Rattus norvegicus: one gene and its partners. The protein of the gene in region 3 interacts with the protein of the main gene of each other region in a pairwise test. Links are inferred from orthologs where the notes say so. Each region holds a gene or a part of one and is shown on either strand. Other genes may lie near its edges.

The links.
Region 1: the proteins of Tfip11 (region 3) and Lmo1 interact in binary tests that used the Homo sapiens proteins (3 or more experiments, as listed by UniProt). The two-hybrid records come from large-scale screens. The link is inferred for Rattus norvegicus from reciprocal best matches to the Homo sapiens genes TFIP11 and LMO1.
Region 2: the proteins of Tfip11 (region 3) and Zgpat interact in binary tests that used the Homo sapiens proteins (3 or more experiments, as listed by UniProt). The two-hybrid records come from large-scale screens. The link is inferred for Rattus norvegicus from reciprocal best matches to the Homo sapiens genes TFIP11 and ZGPAT.
Region 4: the proteins of Tfip11 (region 3) and Ppp1r18 interact in binary tests that used the Homo sapiens proteins (3 or more experiments, as listed by UniProt). The link is inferred for Rattus norvegicus from reciprocal best matches to the Homo sapiens genes TFIP11 and PPP1R18.
Region 5: the proteins of Tfip11 (region 3) and Snx20 interact in binary tests that used the Homo sapiens proteins (3 or more experiments, as listed by UniProt). The two-hybrid records come from large-scale screens. The link is inferred for Rattus norvegicus from reciprocal best matches to the Homo sapiens genes TFIP11 and SNX20.
Region 6: the proteins of Tfip11 (region 3) and Sfr1 interact in binary tests that used the Homo sapiens proteins (3 or more experiments, as listed by UniProt). The two-hybrid records come from large-scale screens. The link is inferred for Rattus norvegicus from reciprocal best matches to the Homo sapiens genes TFIP11 and SFR1.
Region 7: the proteins of Tfip11 (region 3) and Imp3 interact in binary tests that used the Homo sapiens proteins (3 or more experiments, as listed by UniProt). The two-hybrid records come from large-scale screens. The link is inferred for Rattus norvegicus from reciprocal best matches to the Homo sapiens genes TFIP11 and IMP3.

The regions. Positions count from the first base shown.
Region 1 is NC_086019.1:172,571,034-172,574,533, reverse strand, and holds part of Lmo1 (LIM domain only protein 3), read left to right. Parts: intron 1-2,325; coding exon 2,326-2,539; intron 2,540-3,500. UniProt on the Homo sapiens protein: May be involved in gene regulation within neural lineage cells potentially by direct DNA binding or by binding to other transcription factors.
Region 2 is NC_086021.1:188,850,249-188,854,418, reverse strand, and holds the start of Zgpat (zinc finger CCCH-type with G patch domain-containing protein), read right to left. Parts: upstream 2,801-4,170; 5' UTR 2,666-2,800; coding exon 2,097-2,665; intron 1-2,096. Other genes in the region: Arfrp1 (ADP-ribosylation factor-related protein 1), read left to right, coding at 2,946-3,104, 3,511-3,687, 3,944-4,031. UniProt on the Homo sapiens protein: Transcription repressor that specifically binds the 5'-GGAG[GA]A[GA]A-3' consensus sequence. Represses transcription by recruiting the chromatin multiprotein complex NuRD to target promoters.
Region 3 is NC_086030.1:49,959,525-49,962,257, forward strand, and holds the end of Tfip11 (tuftelin-interacting protein 11), read right to left. Parts: intron 1,573-2,733; coding exon 1,217-1,572; 3' UTR 1,023-1,216; coding exon of another isoform or gene 819-1,022; 3' UTR 575-818; coding exon of another isoform or gene 529-574; 3' UTR 501-528; downstream 1-500. Other genes in the region: Srrd (SRR1-like protein), read left to right, coding at 66-220, 529-574, 819-1,022. UniProt on the Homo sapiens protein: Involved in pre-mRNA splicing, specifically in spliceosome disassembly during late-stage splicing events. Intron turnover seems to proceed through reactions in two lariat-intron associated complexes termed Intron Large (IL) and Intron Small (IS).
Region 4 is NC_086038.1:2,889,530-2,893,478, forward strand, and holds the start of Ppp1r18 (phostensin), read right to left. Parts: upstream 2,801-3,949; 5' UTR 2,756-2,800; intron 1,757-2,755; 5' UTR 1,752-1,756; coding exon 186-1,751; intron 1-185.
Region 5 is NC_086037.1:34,608,059-34,612,196, reverse strand, and holds the start of Snx20 (sorting nexin-20), read right to left. Parts: upstream 2,801-4,138; 5' UTR 2,705-2,800; intron 1-2,704.
Region 6 is NC_086019.1:256,559,227-256,563,332, reverse strand, and holds the start of Sfr1 (swi5-dependent recombination DNA repair protein 1 homolog), read right to left. Parts: upstream 2,801-4,106; 5' UTR 2,737-2,800; coding exon 2,724-2,736; intron 1,835-2,723; coding exon 1,665-1,834; intron 1,037-1,664; coding exon 644-1,036; intron 1-643. UniProt on the Homo sapiens protein: Component of the SWI5-SFR1 complex, a complex required for double-strand break repair via homologous recombination. Acts as a transcriptional modulator for ESR1.
Region 7 is NC_086026.1:66,234,247-66,236,886, forward strand, and holds Imp3 (U3 small nucleolar ribonucleoprotein protein IMP3), read left to right. Parts: upstream 1-1,251; 5' UTR 1,252-1,260; coding exon 1,261-1,815; 3' UTR 1,816-2,140; downstream 2,141-2,640. UniProt on the Homo sapiens protein: Component of the 60-80S U3 small nucleolar ribonucleoprotein (U3 snoRNP). Required for the early cleavages during pre-18S ribosomal RNA processing. Part of the small subunit (SSU) processome, first precursor of the small eukaryotic ribosomal subunit.

The DNA of each region.
Region 1 (3,500 bases), on a different chromosome or scaffold from region 3:
GACCTCTGTGAGTCCCACCTCATTACTGAGGTGTCCAACTTTACCCCACATTGCAGAGCTGAGCGTAAAGGTCAGGGTTCTGCTGGGCCCAGGGATCAGAGTTTGTACTACCCTGCAGCCTTGCACAGACCCCTTAGGACTGGGAGACTTCACCTGTAAGACTTTTCCCACGCCACGTCCTCAGGCCTGCGGCCTGCCTTCATGCCACAGAGATCGGAGTTCAGCCTGTCTGGCTTCATTCCCTGTACTCCCTGGGATTGAGGGAGCGCATGGGCTGAGTGAGACGATTATTTTGCCGGGCCTCGTGTGTGTACCTGAGCATGTGCCTGGGCATGCATGTGGGCACAGGCAGCCTCCATTGTTAGAGATGGGTGTTTTCATTCGTGAGTAGTAATTATTGGGTAATGCTTTAAAGCCTCCCCTGAAGGAGTGCAAAGCTGTTTTTCCCCCCTGAAGTCGGGGAGTACGTTAAAAGGATTACCATGTAGATTTGATTTTTAGATAACGCTAAAATGGATCCCAAATGGACTTCAGCAGAGGGCTGCTATCTTCCTAATGGAAAGTGCATGGCCCCAGGCTCTACTCCCAGAGCCAGCAGAGGAGGGGCAGGGAGGTCTGCAGGGGGCTGACTGGCTGGCAGGCTAGAGGGGGTTGGGGAGACAGGAGTTGAGAGACCAAGTATAGAGCCCTAAAGGGACCAAGCCCTCCCTCCTGCATACCAGGTGAGAAGGACAGGGCAGTCTCTGAGGCTATAAGGTGTCTCTGGCTTGAGGTCTGACTTGGTGTTTATGTGAACAGTTCTCCTGGACGGGTGACCCTCCACAGGCCTCAAGGGACAGTCTTCCCATCCTCGGAGCCCAGGCCTCCCTTTATCTTCCTACACTTTATCCCTCCCCGTAGGCAGGCCTTAGAAGGAACTTCTGAGGTCAGCTTCATGGGCAGATCTGGGCTCTGTCAGAGGAGACACAGGCTGACCCTGGGACAGCCGTCATCCTGAATACTATCTCTCATTCAGACCAATTAACCTTTAGAGCTGCATTAAGGAAATTAGGCAGTGAACTTCCCAGCTAACAGATGGTCCTATGGTGATGGAAGGAGGGAGGGAAAAGGGAGCTGACCTCTGCCTATCAGGGGCAGCTATGGGGCCTCCTCCTCCGTGCCCTCACCTGTCCCTTTGGTCTTGTGGTGTCAGTTATGTCTGAGCTCTCTTCTTGCAGAGAGGACTTCCCTGTCCTAGGGGCTGTCCTCCTCTCCAGCAGAAGTCAGAGGGGATGACTGGAACAGGAACAAATCCTCAAGTCATCCCCATCAGCAGTTTAGTGGTTTAACCATCCTACCTACCTGGACTTCAGGTTCCCCATCTGTAGGAGGAGAACATTTGCCTGGAAAACGGGGGGAGGGCTATTCTGACCTGATATCTGTGAATCTAAGGTCACTAGGTGGTGGGGTGTCCCCTGAAGCCAGAGGACACATTCCTCCCTGAAGGGGGAAAGGAAAGGGCGGGATACAAATCAGTAGCTGGGCCTGCGGATAGGCACAGCGTCAGAGCTAGGAATGGGAAAGGTACCCAGGGCTGGAACTAAGTCCTACACACAGGAAGAACACAGATGGGTCGCTGGGTCAGGAGAAGGCCAGTGGAGACAGAGACTGGGGCCTGCCAGAAGCTGGCTGTGTTGGAATGGTGGGCTTTGCTGACTTGTTTGTGGGTAAAGCCTGCCTCTAACCCACCCCATGTTTTCTCAAGAGGCTTGTCCTCCGGCAGCCCTCCATGTACAACCACAGACTTGGTTTCCGTGCCCCCTGCCCGGCACTTTCGTCTTCCTTGCTCCTGGACACTGTGTCCCCGTTTCCTCCTCTGCTGCCCTTCCCAGTGGTTCCAGGGGACCTGGCGCGTGTGACTGAGTGCTCACCATGCCCACACTTGCACATTGTGCTGTGTGCAACGGCAGTTGTGAGTGCGCACACTTACCTACCAGCAGGCGCTGCCTTCTGTAACTGCTGCACACCGAGTCTTGCCTGGTACTTGTCGCTGCTTCCTATATGTCGAGAAGCTTGCACACACGGGACAGTGACTAGGAAGGAGAAGAGCCCAGCAAGCCCAGCAGCTTCTGGAGGGGTCTCGACAGGACCAAGGCATAGGCTATGGCACGTTGCCCAATAGACCAGGCCTGGGGCCTGGGGAAGAGATAGAAATGAGAACTCTGGAGCCTTTACTTAGAGGAAACAGTAAAGAGAAAGACATACTCGCCCCCTCCCCTGGAAGGGTGTGGTGCCCCAGAACTCCAGGGCAGTCCCGTACCCACCTGTCTTGTTTTTCCATCACAGGTGTGCCGATGCTCTCCGTCCAACCTAAGGGGAAGCAGAAGGGCTGTGCAGGCTGCAACCGAAAGATCAAGGACCGGTACCTGCTGAAGGCCCTGGACAAGTACTGGCATGAGGACTGCCTCAAGTGTGCCTGCTGTGACTGTCGCCTGGGCGAGGTGGGCTCCACTCTCTACACCAAGGCTAACCTCATCCTGTGCCGGCGCGACTACCTGAGGTAGGTAATGCTTCTCTGCCTCCTTCCTTCTGGCCTGGTGCACCTTGGCCTTAAGCTCTAAACCAGGCAGCCTGTGTGCACAACTGTGTGACTGCTGCTTCCTCACTGTTGTGTGTCAGCCCCGTGAGCAACCCAAGAGCAGGGTTATGTCTTCACCTCCCTGGACTTGGCCCCACAGGATCTGCTCAGGCATTAGTAAAGTCTTGGACACAAAGATAATCTTCCCATGGGTAACAGCCTGGCCTCACCCTCACCCATTTCTTATGGGCATCCAGAAAGGGACATCTCAAAGGGGCCTGGAGGCAGTCTAGACTTGCCTGGGCCTTCTTCCCAGGAGAGTCTCCTGCCCACCTCTCCCTGGAGTCTTCCTCTCCAGGTGCACTGGGATTAGGCTCTCATTTGCCTGGGTTGGCAGGGAGCCACACCCTAGGACAAGGACTGCCAGCGCTTTTTAAAAGATCTGGGTTTGAACCAGTCCCCCAGCCTTTAGTTTTGAACCATTCTCCATTTTAACCCCTATAGCCCACCTTGCATTCTTCCGAGCTCTGCCTCTCCCCCACAGCTTGGATCTCATCCCCTGGGGCTGCCTTCCCCAATTAACCCTCCCTTAGGCCATTTATGACATCAGCAAGGCTGGAAGGAGGCCATGAAGCAGGGGCCTTGGCTGAGACCCAGCACCTGCATTTGGCTCTGTCACTAGCTGCTGGATGGTGCTGGGCAGCCTTGTGGGGAAGAAAGGCCCATTGCATTAATTAGCAGGATGGGGGTGAGAGAGCTGGTGGGACTTCTGCTCAAGTCAGGACAAGTTGGAGGAGGGGCGGGGTTATTTGGAAACTCCCACCTTCCCCAGAGACCCTGAGATTTACCTGTTTGGACCTTTCCTTTCAACTGTTGCCTTCAGCATTAGCATCAGATGTTTTAAAAAGCGATGGTATTTAGTGCTTCTAGGGCGGGGAGAGAA
Region 2 (4,170 bases), on a different chromosome or scaffold from region 3:
TGCTGGATCTAGTGGGGGGTAAAAGACAGTTTTTAATTTAATTTTACAACAACAGCACTCTTTTAATCCCAGCACTCCAGAGACAGAGGCAAACTCATCTCTAGTCAGCCAGGGCTGCACAACAGAGAGACCCTGTCCATACACAAATAAAGTAAACCTGCTGGGCACACAGATCACTTATGCACCTATCTGCTAGCAAAGGAAGATTGGGCAAGGACATGTCCGGTCTACCATGAAATACAACAAAAAGATGTGCACAGCCAAGATAGGTAGCACTTGCTTACAATTCTGGCCCTTGAAGGTGAAGTCAAGAAGACCAAGAGTTCAAAGTCATCCTTGGGTATATAGAAATGGCTGTGTGTGGCCAGCCTGAGCTACATGAGACCTCATTTTAAAGACAAAGTAAAGAAATAAGATGTGCAGAGTACAGATGTAACGTGGGAATAAGAGCCTAAAGCGATGTGAGGAGGCCACAAACCAAGGAATACAGTTGGTCTCTGGAGGTTGGAGAGACGGCTCAGTGGTTAACACCTTCTTCTAGTTTTCTCAGGCTAGAAGATTGTGTAGGTACACACCCCCCACCCCCCTACACACACACATACGCATGCACTCACACACAAATACACATAACTAAAAATTTATCTTAGCCAGAAATGGTAGTGCTTGCCTTTAATCACAGCACTCAGAGGGCAGAAGCGGGTGGCTCTCTGTTAGTTCCAGGCTAGCCTGGTTTATAAAGTAAGTTCCAGGACAGCCACCAGGACTACTATAGAAACTTTGTCTCAAAAAAGCCAAAAATAGCCGGCCAAAAATAGCCGGGCCATGGTGCAAACCTTTAATATCAGCCTTTGGGTAGTGAGTTCAAGGCCAGTCAGGTCTTCATAGCTATATGTAGTCCAAGACAGCCAGGACTACACAGAGACCCTGCACCAAACCAAAACAAAACAAAAGAAACCTATGGATCCTTGGAGAAAAACATTAAAAAGGTAAAAAAAATAAATAAGTCAAAATAAAATAATAATAATTAAAAAAAAAAAAAGGACAAAGAAATGGATTCTGGATTCTACCCTCAGACTTCCAAGGATCTAGCCCTGCTTAAAATCCTGCCTTTGGCCAAGTGAAACTAATTTTAGATCACTACTAACTACTATTATAGTAGAACAAATCTGTTTTTATTTCAGTGGCCTAAAATAAATTCAAAGCACTAGAGTTACTCTGGATTATTGAGTTAAAAAAAGACATAGGGGCTGGAGAAATAACTCTGGTTAAGTTAAGAGCACTGACTGCTCTTCCAGAGGTCCTGAGTTCAAATCCCAGCCACTACATGGTGGCTCACAACCATCTGTAATGGGATCTGGTGTCCTCTTCTGGTGTGTCTGTGCACTTATATATAACAAGTAAATCTTTTTTTTTTTTTAAAAAAAAGACATAGGTAGGTTTTAGTAATTATTATTTAGCTACATTCTGAAGTATTTGAGGGTGAGAGAAAAAGATGTGACTTGCCAAAGGTAGCACAAGGGGGAAAGGCAAAGTAGCAAGAGGTTATGTGTTTGAATGTTCTGTAAGACTATATATAAACGCTCCCCATAGCTGAGGGTAGGACTGAGGTGTAGAGTAGCTGACTGCCTGGTGTGCTGGAGGCCCTAGTTCCACCTCATCATAGTCAAAAAAAAAAAAAAAAAAAAAAAAGGTTCCAAGCTGAAGATGTAGCCCAGTAAAAGTGGTGGTGGCCTCCACCTGTAATCCTAGCATTTGGAAGTTGAAGGCATTCGGGATCTAGCACAATTGCTGAAGGATCAGGAATTGAAGAACAGCCGAGGTTACATTGCCATCTCAAAGCAAAAAACGTTTTACCTTGGAGAATAATATTGATGATGGGTTGCCCTATCCTTTCAACAATAGCCCTTTCAAACTTTTTGATTTATGCAAGAAAATCTAAGTAGACAAACGAAGAACACTTCTGTAAAAGCCTGTCAGTCACCTGAAGCTCGGACTCTTCATTATCAACTCTGCAGGGTGCAGAAAAAGTTGTGGCGGCAGGCCACAGCGGTGGTCCTGACTACGTGTCCCACATTGCTAGTAGCAGAGGGTTTTACCTGCAGTTCTCCTTGAACCGGCACTTTCCCTCCAGGAAGAACGGGCAGGGCTTCAGGGACTTGTGGGTAGGGTATAGGTAGAGTACCCGAACGCACGCAGAACCATCCTCCGCCTCTTCGGCGCCAACAACCATGGCGTTGTGATACTCTAGCGTGCCCCACGCGCTGTAGTAGGGGGCATTCACTTTAGCACCGCTCAGATCCTCCAGATCTGGGTCCTCTTCCTCTTCCTCCAGTGCAGAGGAGGTGGGTGTCGGCTGCACCTCGCTCCCAGGGACCGTCTTCGAGTCATTGCCGGGGTCAACGGGTGCTTCCTCCGCTATAGCCTTCTGGAAAGCCAAGTACTCAGCATCTTCTTGGTGCTCCTGGTCCACTGTAGATAGCAGCTTGCTCTTCCTGACCGACAACAGGCTGGCCTCGGTGAGCTCGATCAATTCTTTTAGATCGCCCTGCAGCTGGCGCAGGTCCGCCTGCTCAGAAGCGTCTAGGCCAGCACCGAGCGCCAGCTCTACTTGCTGAAGCTGGGCCCGGTAGGTCTGCAGGGCAGTCTCTAGGTTGTCCTCGTCCATCCTGACCCAGAAGGCTGGTTTCGGAACCTTTAAGGCAGACAAGCTCTGAAGGAAGAGCAGTAAGAAGGGCTAAGTGCAACGCCGCCCCCCCCAAACCGCTAGAAAGGCTGAGGAGGACCCAGGCTCTGCCGAGGGGACCTGCACTTAACCCGCCCCCGTCCTCTGCCGTCCGCAACCCCACCTCCTGACTGCGGTCGCAGTCTAGAAGGGTTTCCGGCTTCCCCAGCAAAGCTCACGCGCTAACCTTCCGCCCTCCGCTGGCACTTCCGCCGGAGAGCCGATGCTGCCGGAAGTACCGGCGCGCGGGGGACGCTGGGATGCGACTCCGCCCGTGCTGGGTCTGTCGATCCTCGTTCCGTCAGGCACCGTGAGGGGTCAACGTGAGGTCGGTGGGGTTAGTAACGCGGTGGCGGCGGCTCCTCCTCCAAAATTTGAGCAGGTACAGGTGGGCCTCAGCTGAATTGAGGAGCTGGGGTTCTAGAGTCCTGAAATAGGGGGACGGAAGTGGCTTCAGCAGATGGTTCCTAGTCTCCGTGGGCCCAGCAGCGGCGGGAATCCGAAGCCGACCCTCGCCAGAAGCTTTGCCTCTTTGGTAGCTCCCTAGACAGTCCGCTGGCCCTGCTTCCTGTCGCTGAGTTGAGGGTTCGGAAAGAGGATCCTTTGGAAGGCGGAGTAGAGTAGGCCGCCACGGGCTTTTCAGGGTTCCAGGTCGATGGTGTATTCTGAAAGATGACCTTAAGTGGGAGTGGCCCAGGTTTAGCAGGTGGGCAAGGGTGGAGTCAGGGTCAGAGATTTTTAACCGAAGGGGGTGGGGGGGAGAGTCAGGATCCTCATTTAAAAACTAGCAGGATAGACTGATCACTGATGAAGCGGGCAGGAGGCCGATGACCCTGGTACACACCTTGACATCTCTCAGGGTGCCAAACAGGATGTACACGCTGCTTTCCGGGCTGTACAAGTACATGTTCCAGAAGGATGAATACTGCATCCTGATCCTGGGCCTGGACAATGCTGGGAAGACGGTAGGTCCTTGTTCTCTCACGAGTTCCCATTCCCCGCTTGATGTTTTCTTATGTTGGAAATCTAACCCGGGGCCCCAAGACTACAGGTTAGTTGTCACCAGCCTCCTGAAGAGCAGTCAACAGGCAGAGAGGTGTGCGTGCATATGTGTATGGATGTGAAGGCCCAAAGCATATAGGTGTGAAGGGTTATATTGGGAAGAACACCAGAAAACTGCTCTAGGTGCTGCTATCTAACCACCTCTCTTTCTTTCCTCAGACCTTCCTGGAACAGTCAAAAACACGATTTAACAAGAACTACAAGGGAATGAGTCTATCCAAAATCACCACTACCGTGGGTCTAAACAGTAAGGGGGCACCTTAGGGATATGAGCTTGGGGGGGTCCCTTAGAAATGGATACTGTAAGGTCCACAACTCAACTGACCAGTGGTCAGAACCCCATCTCTCTATTCAAGCCCCCTGGGATTGGTACCAGAATGTTTTGT
Region 3 (2,733 bases):
GCCCTGCCACAGCAGAGCTGGGATCTGCACTCAGCTCCTTAGCACACGTCCTGCTGACTCCACAGGAAGGCAAGCACAGTGTCCAGAGCCAGCCCACTGTCTTCTACATGCCACACTGTGGGACAGCTCTATACAACAACCTGCTGTGGAGCAACTGGTCTGCAGATGCCCTGTCCAGGGTGGTCATCATCGGGAACAGTTTCCAAGGCCTCGAGGAAAGGTGAGTGTCAGGAATGCCAGCCCCGCCTTCCCCATGAGGAACCGAGTTAAAGGTTTAAGGCAGATGTCAAACCCTGGGTCCAGCTTAAGGCACTGAAGGAATCTGCAAGTGTCCCTCTTCTGAGGGCAGCATGTTTGGGCAGCCATGCTCTAAGTGTGCGGACCACTCCTGATCTGCTTCCCAGTGCCTGCCTGTGCTGCCCTCCTGCACATCCCTCAACCCTTCTGAAGTCATCCTGTTTTTTACCTGTTGTTAGTTGAGAAAGAAAACATGTACTTCCTAATTGCATATGTGTTTTTTATTTGTAGGTTGTTGGCGAGGATTCTTCAGGAAAATTACTCATACATTGCAAAGGTGTCTGACAGAATAGCTGGGCTGGGGTAGGGGTGCAAAGCCACACTGTCCATCCACAACCAGCTGGTCCCTCTCCTAATCTGTGCCCTTCACCCTCGGGGTGAGCCCAGCATTCCCACTACCCGTGGAACTGAAAAGTGCTCAAATACAAATCCCCATTTCTTATCTCAAAAGGACAGTGGGGTAGGCAGGTGAACAAAGAGTGGGCCATGCCTAATGCCTGTGTCTGGCCCTTTCCACTCAGATTCTGAAAGGCCTGGAGGAGTTCCCACTGCCTCAAACTCCCCAGTACACCGACACCTTCAATGACACATCTGTCCACTGGTTCCCTCTTCTGAAGCTGGAAGGCTTATCTGAGGACCTGTGGGCATCCCGGGAAGAGCCTGACTACCAGAACTGTGAGGACCTGGAGATCATCAGGAAACCCACAGCCACTCAGCTGGAGTAGCAGGACACCATTCTCTCCACCTGGGCCAGGGGCCACAGTGCACACCACACCAGCTCTTTGCTAGGCCGGGACTACAGCCCGACTGGGGACACTGAGTCACATCCTGCCCTGGTGCCATGGTCTCCCAAATAGAGACGTTATTTACCAGCTTGTTTCACAGTGCTGTTTATTCGCCTGTCTGTCGTGGCCCATGTCTACTTGGCCATGTCGATGAGGCTCTGCAGGGAGGTGGGCACCCACGTCTTCTCGCCCTGCACAAACACCACACCCCGGTCAATGTAGATGACAATGCGGCCAAAGGTGTAGAGCTGCTTGCCCTCGTGCCGCTTGCCAATGACAGGCATGAACACGATGTTGTGCTCCTCCGCCTTGGTCTCAATGAGGTCCTTAAAGTTCATGGGCACAGAGCTGGCAGCCACACCAATGCCCCTCTGTGCCATGTTCTCAGCCTCCCGGCGCTCCTGCATGGCCTCGTACTGGAAGTCCTTCCTGCGCTCCGTGTGGGTGAGGTAGGCAATGTTCTCCCTCGCACCTGGCTGCATGTAGGCACCTGAGAGAAGGGAGAACAGTGAGGAGAGGTGACCCCGGGTACGCAGAGCCAACACCAGAGCATCATGATGACATGGTATATGACTTGCTGCTTAAGGACCTGGGCAAGAACATGATTTACTGCATGCTTGGGAGAGTCAGTATCACAAAATTGGTCCAGGAGCTGCGTAGCTAATATCAGATATCAGAAGTGATCCTCTCAGTATCAGATGAGATGTGGACCCTAAAGTCACCATTTATGAGGTCACCTTATTGTCTAGCATGGCCTACAATTGTTATTCTATCCCTTGCTACAGAGGCCTCTCTGTAGAGCGGAAAATTGGGATCATTGGTTAGGAGTATGTATTATGTTTGCAGAGTTTGATTCCCACACCCACTTCAGATGGCCCACAACTCTCTAACTCCAGGTCCGTGGGTTCTGATACCCCTTCTGTCCATCCCTGGCACTGCACTTGTGTACAACAGGATCATCCACCAGGCACAGACACAAACATAATTAAAAACTTTAAATGGAAAAACGTTTGAGGAGCTAGACTATGGGGACTGAAGGACCACAGTGTGACCCAAATGCAAACTTGTGAGAAGTACAGGAGAAGCAGTGCTGGAAACATGGCTGGGCTGGCTGAGGTGACATGGGGACAGGTACAGAAGACAGCAGCTCCCTTCCAGCCACCGCCCTGAAGCCTCGGAGCCCTCCATAAACTCTGGGCCTCACTGAGAACTGAAATAGTGCCGCTGTGCATCAGGCTAAGTAAGAGGCAACACCCTTTGCTTCTGCTGTGACCACCTTCAGTCTACTCACAGCGCAGCGCTGTGACTTGCATGGCCCTTGACAGTGAACAAGGACCAGGTGCTGTGGACATGAGCTTAGCTCTCGTAGGCTGTGAGGAAGGCACTGATACTGTCTCAAGGGCACAGAGCATGCGTCACACAGAAGGAAGCGACTATCACCATGTGTTTTCTGCACAACAGTGTGGGAAGGCTGCCTGGAGCCAGATTCAGCTATCAGCCTATGACAGGACAAAATGGTGGGGCCTCATAAGTAACTAGGTCCACAGGACACTAGACAGAGTAAACTCCCAAAGGACCAAATAAAAATAAAAATGTCACGTTTAGGAAACAGTCCCAGGACACCCCCAGTAGGAACCCTACTGTGGTGGTT
Region 4 (3,949 bases), on a different chromosome or scaffold from region 3:
GAACGGAATCCTTGGGGCTCCAAAACGAATGGCAAAGGAAGGCCACCCGGAGGAAGGGTGTGTGCAGGGGGAGGAAGGGAGTTGGCAAGAATAAAAAGAATAGAAGAGGCACAGGCATATAAAAAAGTCATCCAGTCAGAACTAGAAAGAGACTTCTACCCAGTCAGGCGTGGTAGCTCTCTTACCTGTTTGTGATGTCTTTCAGGGGATCCCTTGACAAGGCAGCTGCGGCTGAGACGGAGGTAGCCCCCCAGCACCAAGATCTCCTCTGCAGTTGGGTACCGCTTCTTGCCAGATCCAGACCCTGCAGCATCAGCTGTGGCAGGGTTGACTGGAGGGGCTGGGCTGGCAGGGGGCACACACCTCCGTGGGTTGACAGTGAAGGTGTGTCCACTGCGTCGGGGGGCCCCCACCCCCGGTCCTGGTTTCACCCCATAGAACAGACGGCTCATGAGGGGATCCCCAGAGGGTTGGGGGGCAGTTGGGGCCGAGGGTGGGGGAGACAGAGGGGCTGGTGCTGGGGGCCGGGGTTCTGCCGCTTCCTCTTCCTGCTGTCTGGAGCCTTCCGTCCCAGAGTGCTCTGGTGGGAGGGGGGAGGGCCCAGAGCAGCGGTTCTGCTGGGCTCTCAGAGGCCTGCTCTGAGCCCCCGCCTCCTCCTTCTCAGCCTCCCCTCCAGCCTCCACAGCAGAAGGTCCCGGGTGCTTCTCTGAAGATGCTGGAGGATCTGCCTTATGAATTTGCGTCTCTATGTCCCAAGGTGTCCGTTCTCGAGCTTTCCCAGAGTTTAGGGTCCATTTCCAGCCTTCAGTGGGCCTCTGCTCGGCAGTCTCCACTTCTCTAGAGGTGGTGTCTTGAACCTCCTTTGTCACTGAAGGCTGGTCTGGGGCAATCCCTGAACCCAATTTCTCTTCCTCACTCCCACACTCCTCCAAGTAGTCTTTTCTCTCTTCACTTGACTTCAGCCTCCACTCCGTGGCCTCCAGCTGTACCAAGCTCTGTTTCTGGGCTTCTCTTGAGTCAAGATTCCATTTATGGGCCTCTGTCAGACTGGTCTTCTGGTCGCCAGACTCCCCAGGGCTCAGTCTGCTTTCCAATACCTCTTTTCTCTTGGGACTGTGATCTCCAGAACCTGCTAATCTCAGATTCTCCTCTGGAGTTTCTCCAGGGCTCAGCCTCCATTTCTGAGCCTCAGCTGGTCTGGAATCCAGGTCTCTGGCCTCTGCTGGGCTCTGCCTCCAGTCTCCAGTCTCCAAAGACCTCGAACTTGACTCTTGGGTTCCTCCTATCACCAGCTTCCTATCTCTGGCCTCCCTGGGACTTAGCCTCTCTTCTCTTGACTCTCTTCCCTTAGGGCTCTGATCTCTTAAATTACCAGGACTTGATCTCCGTTCTAGAGCCTCCAGAGGCCCAGCCTTCCTATCACCAAGCACCTCGTTTCGCTGCTGCTGCTGCTGCTGCTGCCGCTGTCGCTCCTGTTGGATGAATCGGTTCTGATGTACTGGCCCAATAGCCTCCAAAAGGACAGAAGATTCATCCGGGTCTGGAGGTCCAGCCTCTGCATTCCCAGGCACAGGGCTCCCCTCTCCAGGAGGTAGGCCCAACTTGGCTCTGCGTCGTTCCAGAATTCCCCGCTTCCAGGCTGGCATCTGGGATAAGCGATCCCGTTCTGCTTTCTCACGGCCACGAACCGCTGCCTCCTCCTGCCTCCGCCGGGCTAGCAACTGTAGCTTCCAATCTGGGATAGCGGTCATGGTCGCTGGAAGTGAAGGAGAGAGTATTGGGGGACGGGAACAGGAAGGGTGAGCTTCAGAGAAGCCCAGAGACTGAGAATGGGGGTGGGGGGAGGGAGGAAGTGATGAGGGAAGGAACTAAGAAGGGCAGAGAGGGACTGTAGAGTTAAGAATGAAAATAGAGGAAGGCCGTGAGAGGAAGGAGGGCAAAAGAGTCAGGAACTGAAAAAGTGAGGAGAAAAGCCGGGTGCCAAGTTGGGGGTGGGGATAATGGGAGAGGAAGAGTCGAGATTCCGGGCAGAGGCAGAGCCAGATTGGGGTTTGTGGGCACCAGACGGTCCCTGAGATATGAAAAGGGGAGGTAAGGAAAAGCAGGAGAGCGAGGAGCCGGAGGAGCCGGGGCCGAGAAGTGAGAGGGTTCAGTCGAGACTGCTTCCCCGGTACCCAGGGGAGATAAATGGGAAGAGAGAAGCAGCAGGCGAGGGGCGAAGAGGTCGGACGAGATGTGAGGAGGTGAGGCTAGATGAGGAGGACAGAGGTCCAGGGGAGAAGGGGAGACGGGGAAACGGGCAAGGGCGCCGGCGCCTCTGCGCGCGGGGCCTCGGCAGGTCCCGGCTGCCTTCCCAGCGGCGCTCGGCCCCGCCCCTCAGCCCGGCCCCTACCCCACTTGCCTATCCCGCCCCCGAGGCGGGTCAGGGGAAATACCCTCCTCGGGGACTTTTGGTACCCGAGCAAGTGTGGCAGCCTATGCATTCCCAGAACCCTGGCGTCCACCCGCGTCCAGTCCCTACAATCTCGCCGGCCTCTCCACCAGATGCGCCCCCAGAACACGGGCGCGACGAGGACCCGCATCGCGCCTCTGATGTCCCCCAACCAGGGACCCGGCTCTCAGGGGACCTTGACCCAGTGGGACGTGCACCCGAGAGGACTGAACGGACAATCTGTGCACAAAGGGGAGGCACTCCAAGGGAGATTTAGAGCCACGAGGCACTTCCCTTAAAGTGGGAGCCCTACAGTCAACTTACACGCCTTGGGGTCCCTAGGAGGAGGTGCAGTGGAGTCGGGCGTCGGGAGAGAGGAAGAGGAGGAGAGAGGCGAAGGGAGATCCGGAGGGAGGGAGGGAAACAGAGGAGGAGGGAAGGGGGAACCCAGGAGGAGGGACGGAGACGCAGACAGGGGGCCAGCCGGGGGCGGCGACCGCTTTGTCTACGGACAATGGGGCGAAGGAAGGGGGCGCAGGGAGGAGCCCGGCGAAGGGCGGGGCTTCGCTGCCCTCCTTCCCGCGTGGGACTCTGGTGGGACTTCTCTCCCGCCGTAGCAATCCCCTTTTTCTCGGTTGTCTGTCTCCTGAGACCTTCACCCGCTTCCTTCCTTGCAGCCCTAGAGAAGCGGGGTGTCCAGACCCCAGTGCTCCAATAGGCCGACCCGGGGCGGCGGCCCGTGACTCAGGCCCCCTAAGGGACATGGAGAGGAAGCGGCAGCTGCTTGGAGTCGGACCCGCCCTTCCCATCTCTAGCTGCTCCTCCCCACGCCTTTTCTTTCCCTGGCTAGTCTTTGTTACCGTGGCAGAGAAGGCGGCTGCCAGGCCCTGGGGTCTGAGGCGAATAGCTTTGGGAGTTCGCTCCCCTCCCAGAGAGTTATTCTGTCTCCCACGGGTTCCCTGATCTATACGCGGAGAGACTTTCATATTTGGAGGGAACAGGACTGGAGGACTGAGAGATGGGGCGGGTCCATGGGGTGTGGCCCCAGCCCAGGGATCCGTCCTAGAGTGCTTTGGCTATCGCCACAAAAACTTGGCCTAATCTTCCTCCCCCCCTCCCCCCAATTGGTCCTGCGGCTTGAGAGTCATGGACAGACAACTGGGTGTCATATGTATAAAATTTTAATTTTTCTGCAGCGCATGTCCTTTGGGAGAGGAGGGAGCCCCGAGTCAACCCGAGTTAAAAAAAAAAACAAAACAAAACAAAACAAAAAAACGGGAGATATCGCTGTAGAAGACAGCACCGCAGAGCTGATGAGGTGGAAAAACTAAGGCAGTGGTGGGGAGGAACCACAGCCGCAGTACAAAAGAGCCATTACCTACAAACTTTCAGATAGGCCCTGACATAGCTCCTCGAGGTGGAAACACGGAAGGGAATCCCTGAGGTGCAGAGCCAATAACAAGGGGATGGAGTGCTAAGGCTGACCCTGTGTGTGTGTGGAGGTCATGCTCTGAAGAG
Region 5 (4,138 bases), on a different chromosome or scaffold from region 3:
ATTTTTATCGTGTGTGTGTGTGTGTGTGTGTGTGTGTGTGTGTGTGCGCGCGCGCGCGCGCGTGTGAGCGTGTACATGTGTGCTCATGCATGTGCATGCCCCTCAGCTCATGAGGAAAGCATATGGAGGCCATTCAAGCTTGCAGGAGTTCCTTCTTTCCCTCTACCATACAGGTCATGGGGTTGGAACTTGGGTCATGAGGCTCAGCGGTAAATGGCTTTACCTGCAAAGCCAGCTCAAAGAACCACACTTTCCTCTTTTCCTCTGAGCCTTTGACATGGTGCTCTCCACATTCAGGGTGGGTCTTCCCCCTAACCTAGTCATCTGTGGAAACAGCGCATGCGCGCGTGCGCGCACACACACACACACACACACACACACACACACACCCGGAAGTATACTTTCCTTGGCTCCCAGGGTACTGTAAATCTAGCTGAGTTGGTGAGATTAACCACCACAGCACGGGAACTCAAAGGTGCAGTGCTGCCAACACATCCTCTCTCTTCGTCTGTCTGGCCTAGGGGAGGCTGGTGGGGCTTCAGCCTGTGCCTCAGGGGGCTGTTCTTGCTATGACAGGTGGGAGGAACTGCTTTCTGAGTGGCATCTAAGCAGTGGACCAATAAGTGCTGTCAGGGACCCTCAATCAAGCCTCACACTTACAGGTGGGTGAACTGAGGCACAGAGCAGAGGCCGGGCTGGACCAGAGCTGTATATGCTTGGATACTCACAGCTTGTATGCCCTGCTAACCTGTCAACCCTGTGAAGGAGTCAGGAGACATGGCCCCCATTCTGACTGAGCGGCTCCTGGGCAAGTTATTTGTTTTATTCTCCATTTCTTCCTTTCCTTTTTGGGAAGGGTGGCTACAAGCCTTATCATGCCATTAAGTGTTAATGGGAGGGGGTCCCTCATGTTCTAAGTTAGTGGTTCTCAACCTTCCTAAGGCTGTAACCCTTTAATACAGTACCTCAAGTTGTGGTGACCCCAACCATAAAATTATTTTGTTGATATTTTATAACTGTAATTTCGCTACCGTTTTTGAATCATAATATAAATATCTGATATTCAGGATGTCTGATAGGTGACCCCTGCGGTGATCACAACCCAGAGGATGAGAACCACTGAGCTAAGTGCTAAAGCAAGATGGTAGGTAGCCCATATGCTGTCATATTAAACAGTGTTTTTCATTTGTTTTTTTTTTTTTTAAGATGTACGCTATGTAGCCCAAGCTGCCTGGAAGTCATAATCTTCCTGCCTTTGCCTCCCAAGGGGTGGAATGGCAGGTGTGCCAGTGTACGCCTATTCTACTGAATAGAGTCGTCATGTTTCCTATGGGCACTCTGTACTTTCCCTATCTTTTTCTCGTGGTGAGTGAGTGGTGGCTTGTGGAACTGGTCCTAGTGGTCCATTTCCAGATCTGCTTTCTTGATCTGGGTAGCTGGTGCCATGCCAGAAGCAGGGCACTTCTCCAATGGAGTCTCGGAAGACCGCAGAAATTTGCCCATGCTGTGTGCTCTGGTCGAACCATTAAAAAGAAACCAGCATGAAACCAGGGCTTAGAATAAAAATCAAAGCCACAACCAAAGCTGTTCCTGGGTGTCTTCTCTTACAGGACAGGCTGGGAGGGACCCAGTTAAAGACAAGTAGGAAAAGGTGCTATGTTGATAGTTCCCCAAACACATCCAAGCCTCAGTTTCCCTATGTGGGAAATGGGAAATTAATCCGTTTGCTAAGCTCCTTGGGGATAGAGGGCTCTGAAGGGTCTGCCTTATCTCTCCACACCCTCCGTGGTAAAGATTTTTAGCCATCACAATAAAGCATGGCAGAGGTTGGTACCGATAGCTTGGGGACCTGCACTTGGCCCAGAGGACAGAGCAGCGTCACAGGCTCCCACCCTATACTATCTCCTGTGCGTGACAGTCTTCATCTCCTGGGTGCCTTGGCTCTTGTTCCCCTGTTCAAGGGGTCCTACCCTCTTCAGTCCTCCTGGGTACTCAGGCCACGTGTAGAGCCTAGGCCACCTTTCTCAGGGGGTTGCAGAAGGAATGAAAATCTAGAAGAAAGCAGTAACAACCCTTGCCCCTAAGACAAGAACTGAGAGGCACCTATTCAAAGACAAGGAGGAAGGAAATGCCAGGGGCGGCAGCCCTGGCTGCGGGAGTTTGAGTTTAAGCCCCCTTTCTTTGTAGGGCAGCTTCCTCCGGTCTTCACTGGAAGGTCAGCCAAGGCTCCACCCGCCCTGCTATGGAGAGATGGGCACCACAGGACCCCTGAGTGCTTCCCCGTGAAACTTGCCACCGGAAGTGCTCTCAGTTATGGGTGTGCATCAGAATCCCCTTTGGGATTGGGGAGAGGCAGTGTCGGGGTCTCTAATGAAAGCAGGGTGCCTACCCCACAACCCTCAGGCAGAGCTCTGGATTCTGTGTTCTGCTGTAGGGTCTGCCCTTTGAGAAATACAAGTCTGGACTTGTTCCCAGGAACAGAGATGGGGTCTGGCATTTTAAAAAGAGTCAGGCTTGGAGGTTGTTGGTGGGTATTCCTGGTTTGCCCCCAGTTTCTGAGGACAGCACTACAGATAGCAGTGGCTCTCACCATCTTTAGTCCCTCCTACCTGGTCCCCAGGGAGTTCCCAGAGGGTCTCTCAAGGAGATCACTGGGTCTCAGTGGGAGGAAGCCAGCTAGGCTTGGGGTCAAATACTGACTGACCTGGAATCTTCAGGCTTTGTGGGTTCAGAGGTCCAGGAGGGTCACATGCTCCATTTCGATCTCTTTTTGCAAGGTCCAACTGGACGGTCGAACGTCTGCCGCAATTCTGAGTTCTCCTTTTGAAAACAGGAAATCGGCTGAGTGATCTCCCTCAGAGGCTCCAGCTCATTGGTTGCTGAAAGGTCTACATGGAACCTCATAGACAGATGTCTGCAGTACATCATACAGGCCACGTGGTACAAGGCTGCCCACAGGAGTACAGTCTAACCTCACCTCACAGCAGCTTTAAGCAGCTCGATACCTATTAGACACTCAGACAGCTGTTGGCATTTCGGAGAATCAATCTCAAAAAAACCTTTGTTTTAGTCCTTTTCTGTGGCAACGACAGAAGACCCTAGACTGAAAAAAGTCACGTATGAAAGTTTATTTAGTTCGTAGCTGTGGGTCTGGAACATGTAAGCGCACATTGGCAGTGTCTGTGAGGGCTGTCCTGCCACATGTGACATGCCACGGTAGGAGGTGGGCAGGCAAGAGGAAGCCTACCTTACGCACCCCAGTTTCACAGTTACAGCATGAATGCTTTTATGAAGACTGTCTTTATGACAGTCAACCCTCAGAAGACCTCACCTCCCAAACCTATAGTGTTGGGGAATCACAGTCTAACACAAGGATTTGGGGATACCTCCTTTTTTTTTTTAAAGGTTTATTTATTTAATATATAAGTAAGTACACTGTAGCTGTCTTTGGACACACCAGAAGAGGGCATCAGATCCCATTACAGATGGTTGTGAGCCACCATGTGGTTGCTGGGAATTGAACTCAGGACCTCTGGAAGAGCAGACAGTGCTCTTAACCGCTGAGCCATCTCTCCAGCCTGGGGATACCTCCTTTTAATAGTTATTATACTAGCTATGAGCTCGGCATAATGGGCCCTTCATGTTCTGTTGACAGGCAGGAGAACTAAGGTTTGGAACACTTGAGCTGGTAGGACGCAGAGACAGCACCTGACACAGAGTGGTACTGGGTGGCCTCCAGGTTTCCATTAGGAGATAAGACATACCACGATTTGTGACAGAGTTCCAGGGAAGACAGACCCTAGCACAGGGATGTCACGTATGGCTAGCAGGGCATGTGCCCTTAGGAACAAGAGGCTAGAGAAGGACAAGTTATAACCTTTTTCTCCAGCCCTGGAAGGCCTCTCATGTACCATTCTAGCTCTATTCTTCTCTCCTCAGCTAAAATGGCGGTGTGTGGGACAGTGAAAGGTACATAGGAGTTTCACCCGTTCCTGGGTATTAGGCCCCCATCACTAGCCACAGCTCTCCATAGATTTGTGGCCACCAGTCACATATGGGCAATACCCCAAGACTCTCCACAGATAGAGGATGTGACCTGTTGTCACATAGGCTCAAAACGGATCTCCATTTTAATGAG
Region 6 (4,106 bases), on a different chromosome or scaffold from region 3:
AACATATTCAAGCTTAAAGCATTTTCAACATTTAGCATCAGTTACATTTAGAAAAGTCCTAAAAGTTCAAAACCACATATAAGATACGCTATTGTCATTTACTCCACATTTTGGGGATAGAACGAGGTGATCTGTGGGTAAGAGCAGCAGCGATGTCTCCTCCTTCCAAACATCCATGTTCTATTTTACTCAACATGTGTGAGCTGAAACCTAAAATCTGTGTTTTCTCAAATAAAATGCCTGACATTTTATCAGACACATGATCGTTACGGAAAGTGCAGCACCCAGCATTCTGTGGTGTGTTTTTAGTTCTAGCGACATCCCTTTCTGTTCCCACTGCACCTCCATCCAACACCTCACACTTCTAATCTTGCTCCTGGCTAGAAATTAGAGCCCACAAGCTTCATCTGTGCATTAAACAAGAGCTGAAGCTTTGAAGCTTTTAAGTTCTACCTCGTGTTGAAGGGGCTTATCTGCCTCATTCTGAACCAGTTATTTCTAATTCAGTCAAAGCTCTTGGTGTAACTAACTCAGGTTTCTGGGTTTTTCGGCTTCTTGTTTATCAGACTAAAATTTATTTCCAATTTCTGAATTTACAGCAATTTATGTAAAAATGGTTCAATGGTTCTGAAATTCTTCTCACCTTTATTCTGTACATTTTGACTAACTTTAACCTCCGAAGAAGGTCTTCCTTCTCTTGAACCTGCCTAGTCAGTTTTGCTTTTTCTTCCTTCAAAGTTTGCTTTATAGTCTTCTCAGTAGAATCTTTTTGGAGGACACTGGATGACCCAGTATCAAGTGACTTAGATTCACTCGTATTTTTATCCTCTGAGCTCTCTTTTTCAGGTTCATTGTCTTTGTTTTCCAGGCTTTCTTGGGCTTTTGAACAGTTTTCTTCTTTTGAAGATTCTCCTGGTTCTGAAAGGGTCTGATCATTTTCTTCATTCTCTACCTTAATACGCTTCACCACACTACAAAAAGGTTGAGATGAAGCTCTTGCTTTCTTTAATCTTTCTTTAAGTGTCCCACTCATAGGCTGAAAAAGACACAAAACATCAAATGTTAAGAATATATTCTTGGGGCTGGGGATTTAGCTCAGTGGTAGAGCGCTTACCTAGGAAACACAAGGCCCTGGGTTCGGTCCCCAGCTCCGAAAAAAAGAACCAAAAAAAAAAAAAAAAAAAAAAAAAAAAAGAATATATTCTTGAAGTACATCAATGTATTCGAAACAAAGTCTGTACGCTTCTATGGTAGGTACAATGGGTTGCTTTTGGTCTCCAAAAACCTCAAGTGGGCATCACCAATGTATCTAAGTTCCAGAGGCTACCTTTAGTCTTGCTTTAGCAAGGTTACCGTCATTGGCAGCTAGTATTTGCCTGACAATACTAGAAACAGAAATGTCTCAGAACTATAAACTAAGGAGAAGACCTGCTACCAAAGACTTCCCCCTGAAATACGGTACAGATATGTTTCCTTGGTTTGGAGCATCTCAGTAACCTGGTAAGAAATTAAACGAAATGAACTGATTCAAGAAGAAAATCTGGCAGTTAGCAAGGTATGGGCTATATATTAACTCACACTCCAGTATCCTTAGAACTGCCACTATTGGAATACTTTGAAACACAGGACAGATGGGGGTAAAGGACAACACAAAATTTTCATACTTGTTTTCCTGAACTATTCGAATGGAGTGATGGTGGATTTTCACTGGTCTGAGGCTTGTCAGGTGAGGTTGGGGGTGATGGTGGATTCTCACTGGTCTGAGGAATGTCAGGTGAAGTGGATGCTGAATCTGAGGGGTTTTCCATCTTGGAAGTGATCTCCTGATTTCCTTCTAGAAAGGGAAAGACACGAGAATGATAAATTAATTATCTCAAAACAGACCTCAATTTTTTCAACAAAATTTTCTTCAGTGAACTAAACACCAAAAAAGTCAGCAATTTCTTCCAATTATTTGTACCTGTAATTTATTCTAATTCTTTTCATATTCTTTCCATTTACTTCTCCACATGGGGAGTAACCAAATTTTGTTTCTTTCACGACAAATAAACCGGCTAGTATCTTATTGACACTCATTTTTCTCCTTCAAAACATCTCCAAAAATTTGGATTTCGGGGAAGGGAACTAACTCTACGTAGTCAAGAATTTTAATCTTTGTTATAATTTCGTAAATAAAAGCGATACAGTCCGAATCTTGAATCCTAAAAGCTTTGTGCCTAGAAGAATGAGTCCCAAGGAGCCAGAAAGCAGCGTCGGCCCCTTTTGGTTTTCTAGGGTCAGGGCCTCTGCCTTCCTCCCCCGCCCTATCTTTTCCACCAAGCCCCGCCTTCTCCGCCCCGCCCCCTCCGCCCCGCCCCTCACCCCCCACCACAGAAAGCCCTCCCCCCTCATTCTCCCTTCTCTACTCCCTCCCCCGCACCCTCCCCTCACCCTCCCACCACAGAAAGCCATCCCCCCTCATTCTCCCTTCTCTACTCCCTCCCCCGCCCCCTCACCACAGAAAGCGCTCTCCCGCTGCTCCCTCCCGCGCTCTTTTTTCTAAGCCCAGTCCCCCTCCTTCTCCTCTCCCTCCCCCTCTCCTCCACCTCCCTCACCATAGAAAGCCCTCTACCCTACAGAGCAGGAAGTCGAGCCCCCGCGACGCCGGGAAGAGCTTCTCTATCAGATATGCAGACACCCGCAGGCCTGACGCGCAGACCAGCCCCAGGGAGAAAGCTCAATACCTTCCTCAGCCATGCTCACAGCAGACACAGCGTACACAACCAGCGTAGCGCCCGGAGTACACTGACCTCGCCCCGGGGGCGGAGCCCCACCGGAGGAGAGACGTGCGATTGGCTAGCTTGACCGTAGCGGGCGGATGTGCTTTGTCCAATTCCGACTACGCGTGCGCGTAGGCCCACGAGCCTCAGCCACGGGGCGGGGCGGGACCAGGGGGGAGGCGGGCGCGGCTCGTGATTGGCAGGACTGGCCGGCGCGCTCCAGGGCTCGGCCACGCGCGCAAGGCCGCCAGGCTAAGGGTGGCTTCCAAGGCAAAAAATAGTGTCAGGCCTTTGGACGGGCCTGAGGGGGGCGCGCTTCCGCTCGCCACTTCCTACGAGGGTTGCTGTGCCAGCCGCCTTCCCAAGCAGCTTCCCTTGGGGGAAGGGAGAGGGGTGCATCCTCTGGGTAATGGGCCTGAGAGCACCGCCCCCGCGCGCCCGCCCCCTGGCAGTCTCCGCTTTCACAACAGCAGAGGCTTTTCCTCAGACGTGGCAGGACCGGAAGCCGCGGGGCCCGTTTGGCTCCCTGCTGGCGAACGCTTCCTTAGCCTTTTGTGGTCTGTTTGGAAGCCAGCTTGATAGGAATCTATCCCGGCGTCTCTGCACGTGCAGTAGAGAGCATCTCCAGCTTGCTTTGCAGTCTCGCCCCTTTATTTTGGTCTATGCCCACTGGCTTCACTTGTTTTGGTCCAATCTGAGAAAATGTAACCTAAGGAAGTGTATTATGGCGCAGGACAGGAAGCGGGACTGTCGATCCGATCGGGTCGGTCTAGCATCCAGAAGTTTGAGAACTAGATCCCGGGGTGCCCCTAGGAGGCCCCTTGCTAGACGCTGGGGAGCCCCTGGGAGGCCCCTTGCTAGACCCTGGCTCGACTCCTGGGAGGCCCCTAAGAGGCCCCTTGCTAGACCCTGGCTCGACTCCTGGGAGGCCCCTAGGAGGCCCCTTGCTAGACGCTGGGGAGCCCCTGGGAGGCCTCTGGCTAGACCCTGAGAGGCTGCAACGCCTTCTGGTGTTAGGGATGTTCTGTTGCTATGCAACAGCAAAGTGAACTAGCTTGGGTGGAGCACTGGGTGTAGAGAAGTCAGCTGAGTAACCTGTGAGTCACTGGGAAGTTTGTGAGAGAGGACAAATCTCTTTCCGAATATCTGCTAATGGTGGCTTTAAAGTAATCCGAAAGAAGTGGTCGGAATCCTACGCAGTCAGTTATAAATACAGAACCTAACGAAACTTTTGGAGGTGATTAGATCTGCAAATGTTGCAGTTGCCTAGATTCCAGTGCTGGCATTGTGGTTTTTTATTTGCTTTGTTTTTGCTATAGCGTGTACGTAATGTGGACGTGTACCTCA
Region 7 (2,640 bases), on a different chromosome or scaffold from region 3:
AAAATAAAATAAAATAAAATAAAATAAAATAAAATAAAATAAAATAAAATGATGGCCAAGGTGGCTCATGCTCACTTGTAATCTCATTAATTTGGATCGAAGCTGGTTGGATTGTGGTGAATTTGTGGCTGACCTGGGCTACCTAAGGAAACTGTGTCAAAAAAAGTAAAAGGCACAGCTGCTTCCAATTCTGATTATTTGTTTGGTATTGCTCAGTATTACTTGGCAAGAAGAATCCCTCTGCCAGTCCAGTGACAGACCTGATGCTGGCTGGGATGGAACTATTCCTCAACTCTAGGAACCACTGGAACTGAGACGTTTGCAGAGTTCTAACCGCGTTCTTGGCAGAGACAATACTCTCCTCTTTTTAAAAATTTATTAGCATTCTACTTTTCTAACTTTGTGTACCCTTTTTTTTTTCTTTCTTTCTTTCTTTCTTTTTTTTTTTTAAAGATTTCTTTTATCAGTGCTCTAGCTGCATGTACATGAGCATGCCAGAAGAGGGCATCGGATCTTATTATAGATGGTTGTGATCCACCATCTGGGTAATGGGAACTGAACTCAATGACCTCTGGAAGAGCAGCCAGTGCTCTTAATTGCTGAACCATCTTTCCAGGGTTCGAGAGATAGCTCAGCCATTAAAAGTTTGGCTCACAACCAAAAATATGAGACAATTCTTTTAAAGACGATAACTCCTCACTCTGGGAACTGACATCTGCATCTATTGAGGGGGCAGACTGTCTTTGGTCATCAAAGACAGAAATCTGACAGACTAGGGGCTGCCAAGATGGCTCATTAAGAATAATTGACTGTAAAAAAAATAAAAAAAAAAAAAAAAAAAAAAAAAGAATAATTGACTGTTTTTTCAAAGGTCCTGAGGAATCCCATGATGGTTCACAAACATGGGATCTGAAGCTCTCTTTTGGTGTGCATGAAGACCGAGCACTCACATACATAAAATACGTCAATGAATAAATCTTAAAAACAAAACAAAACAAAAAAAAACACAACACTAGAGAAAGTCTACCGGACTGCTAATAAAGCTGTCTTTGCCCAACACGCCTCTCCTTCCGCAAGTCTTTCTCCCCACTCCCCTTTCAAAACAGGAAGTTCCAGATTTGGACGAATGAAAAGTCGGGGGCGTGTCTTCAATATTTCTTTTGATTGGTCCAGGAGCATGGAGGCGGGGGTCTTCCCTTGTCGTGGCGGAAATTACGTTGGGTTCTCAACGTGCTCTCAGCTTCTCGGGCTTTCTCCATCATGGTGCGGAAGCTTAAGTTCCATGAGCAGAAGCTGCTGAAACAGGTGGACTTCCTAAACTGGGAAGTCACCGACCATAACCTTCACGAGCTGCGCGTACTGCGACGGTACGGGCTCCAGCGGCGCGAGGAGTACACACGCTACAACCAGCTGAGCCGGGCCGTGCGCGAGCTGGCGCGGCGCCTGCGCGACCTGCCGGAACGCGACCCGTTTCGCGTTCGCGCCTCGGCGGCGCTGTTGGACAAGTTGTACGCTCTGGGCCTGGTGCCCACGCGCGGCTCACTAGAACTCTGCGACTCCGTCTCCGCCTCGTCCTTTTGCCGCCGCCGCTTGCCTACTTTGCTCCTCAAGCTACGCATGGCACAGCATCTCCAGGCTGCTGTGGCTTTTGTGGAGCAGGGTCACGTCCGCGTGGGCCCAGACGTGGTCACCGATCCCGCCTTTCTCGTCACTCGCAGCATGGAAGACTTTGTCACCTGGGTGGACTCATCCAAGATCAAGCGGCACGTGTTGGAGTACAATGAGGAGCGCGATGACTTTGATCTTGATGCCTAGCGAGTCTTGTCCTGGTTTCTCAGCTACAGGTCACTGAACCGGGGATGGGGAGAATCGCCTCTGTGTTCCGGGAAATTTTCTTAGAATTTGGACTGACAATTGACTGTGTCTTGAGAGACAGTGGGAAGCAGTTTTTACTGCTCTGGGGACTGTTAGCTTCTTGTACCTTAAACTGTGGTGTAGAAGCAGGAATGTTACCTCTTCCCTTCTTTGCTTTATCATCGTGAAATAGAACAGATGGAGAGTTTGAGTTCATTTTATTTATACCATTTAAAGAAATCCTTTCCTAATGCCAATAAATGTCCCGACCACGTTGTTTAAATGCACATTTTGGTCTGGTCCTTCGTCTTACCATATCTGTTGATCTCGCTAGCTGAAGAGCCTAAGAGGAGGAAAAGGGTTGTAGACGTGAGACTCTGCAGCCTCACGTGGAGGCTGCAGGATGTTGTACACGCTGGGCAGATTTGTCACTTACCCAGTCCTTTTCTCGGAATGAATGTTTTGGCAGAGCTTTTATCCACAAGACTTCCTGTTGATATTTCAGCCCCAGGAAATACCATATTAAAGTCTTGGAGTGTTTGCTTGCCTAAGGAAATGATCGCCCTGTAGTTTGGCCAGCTAGTGGTTAGAAGGGACCCAGGAGGTTCCTGAAAACAGATGTTCTTCAAGGTCCTGGCTTCAGAGTTACTAAAAAAAACAAACAAACAAAAAAAAAACAAACAAACGAGCAAAAGGGGTGGGTAGTGTTGGCACAGCCTTAAACCCAGCAGTTGGAAGGTTAAAGCAGACAGATCTTTGAGTTTGAGGCCAGCCTGGTCTACATTA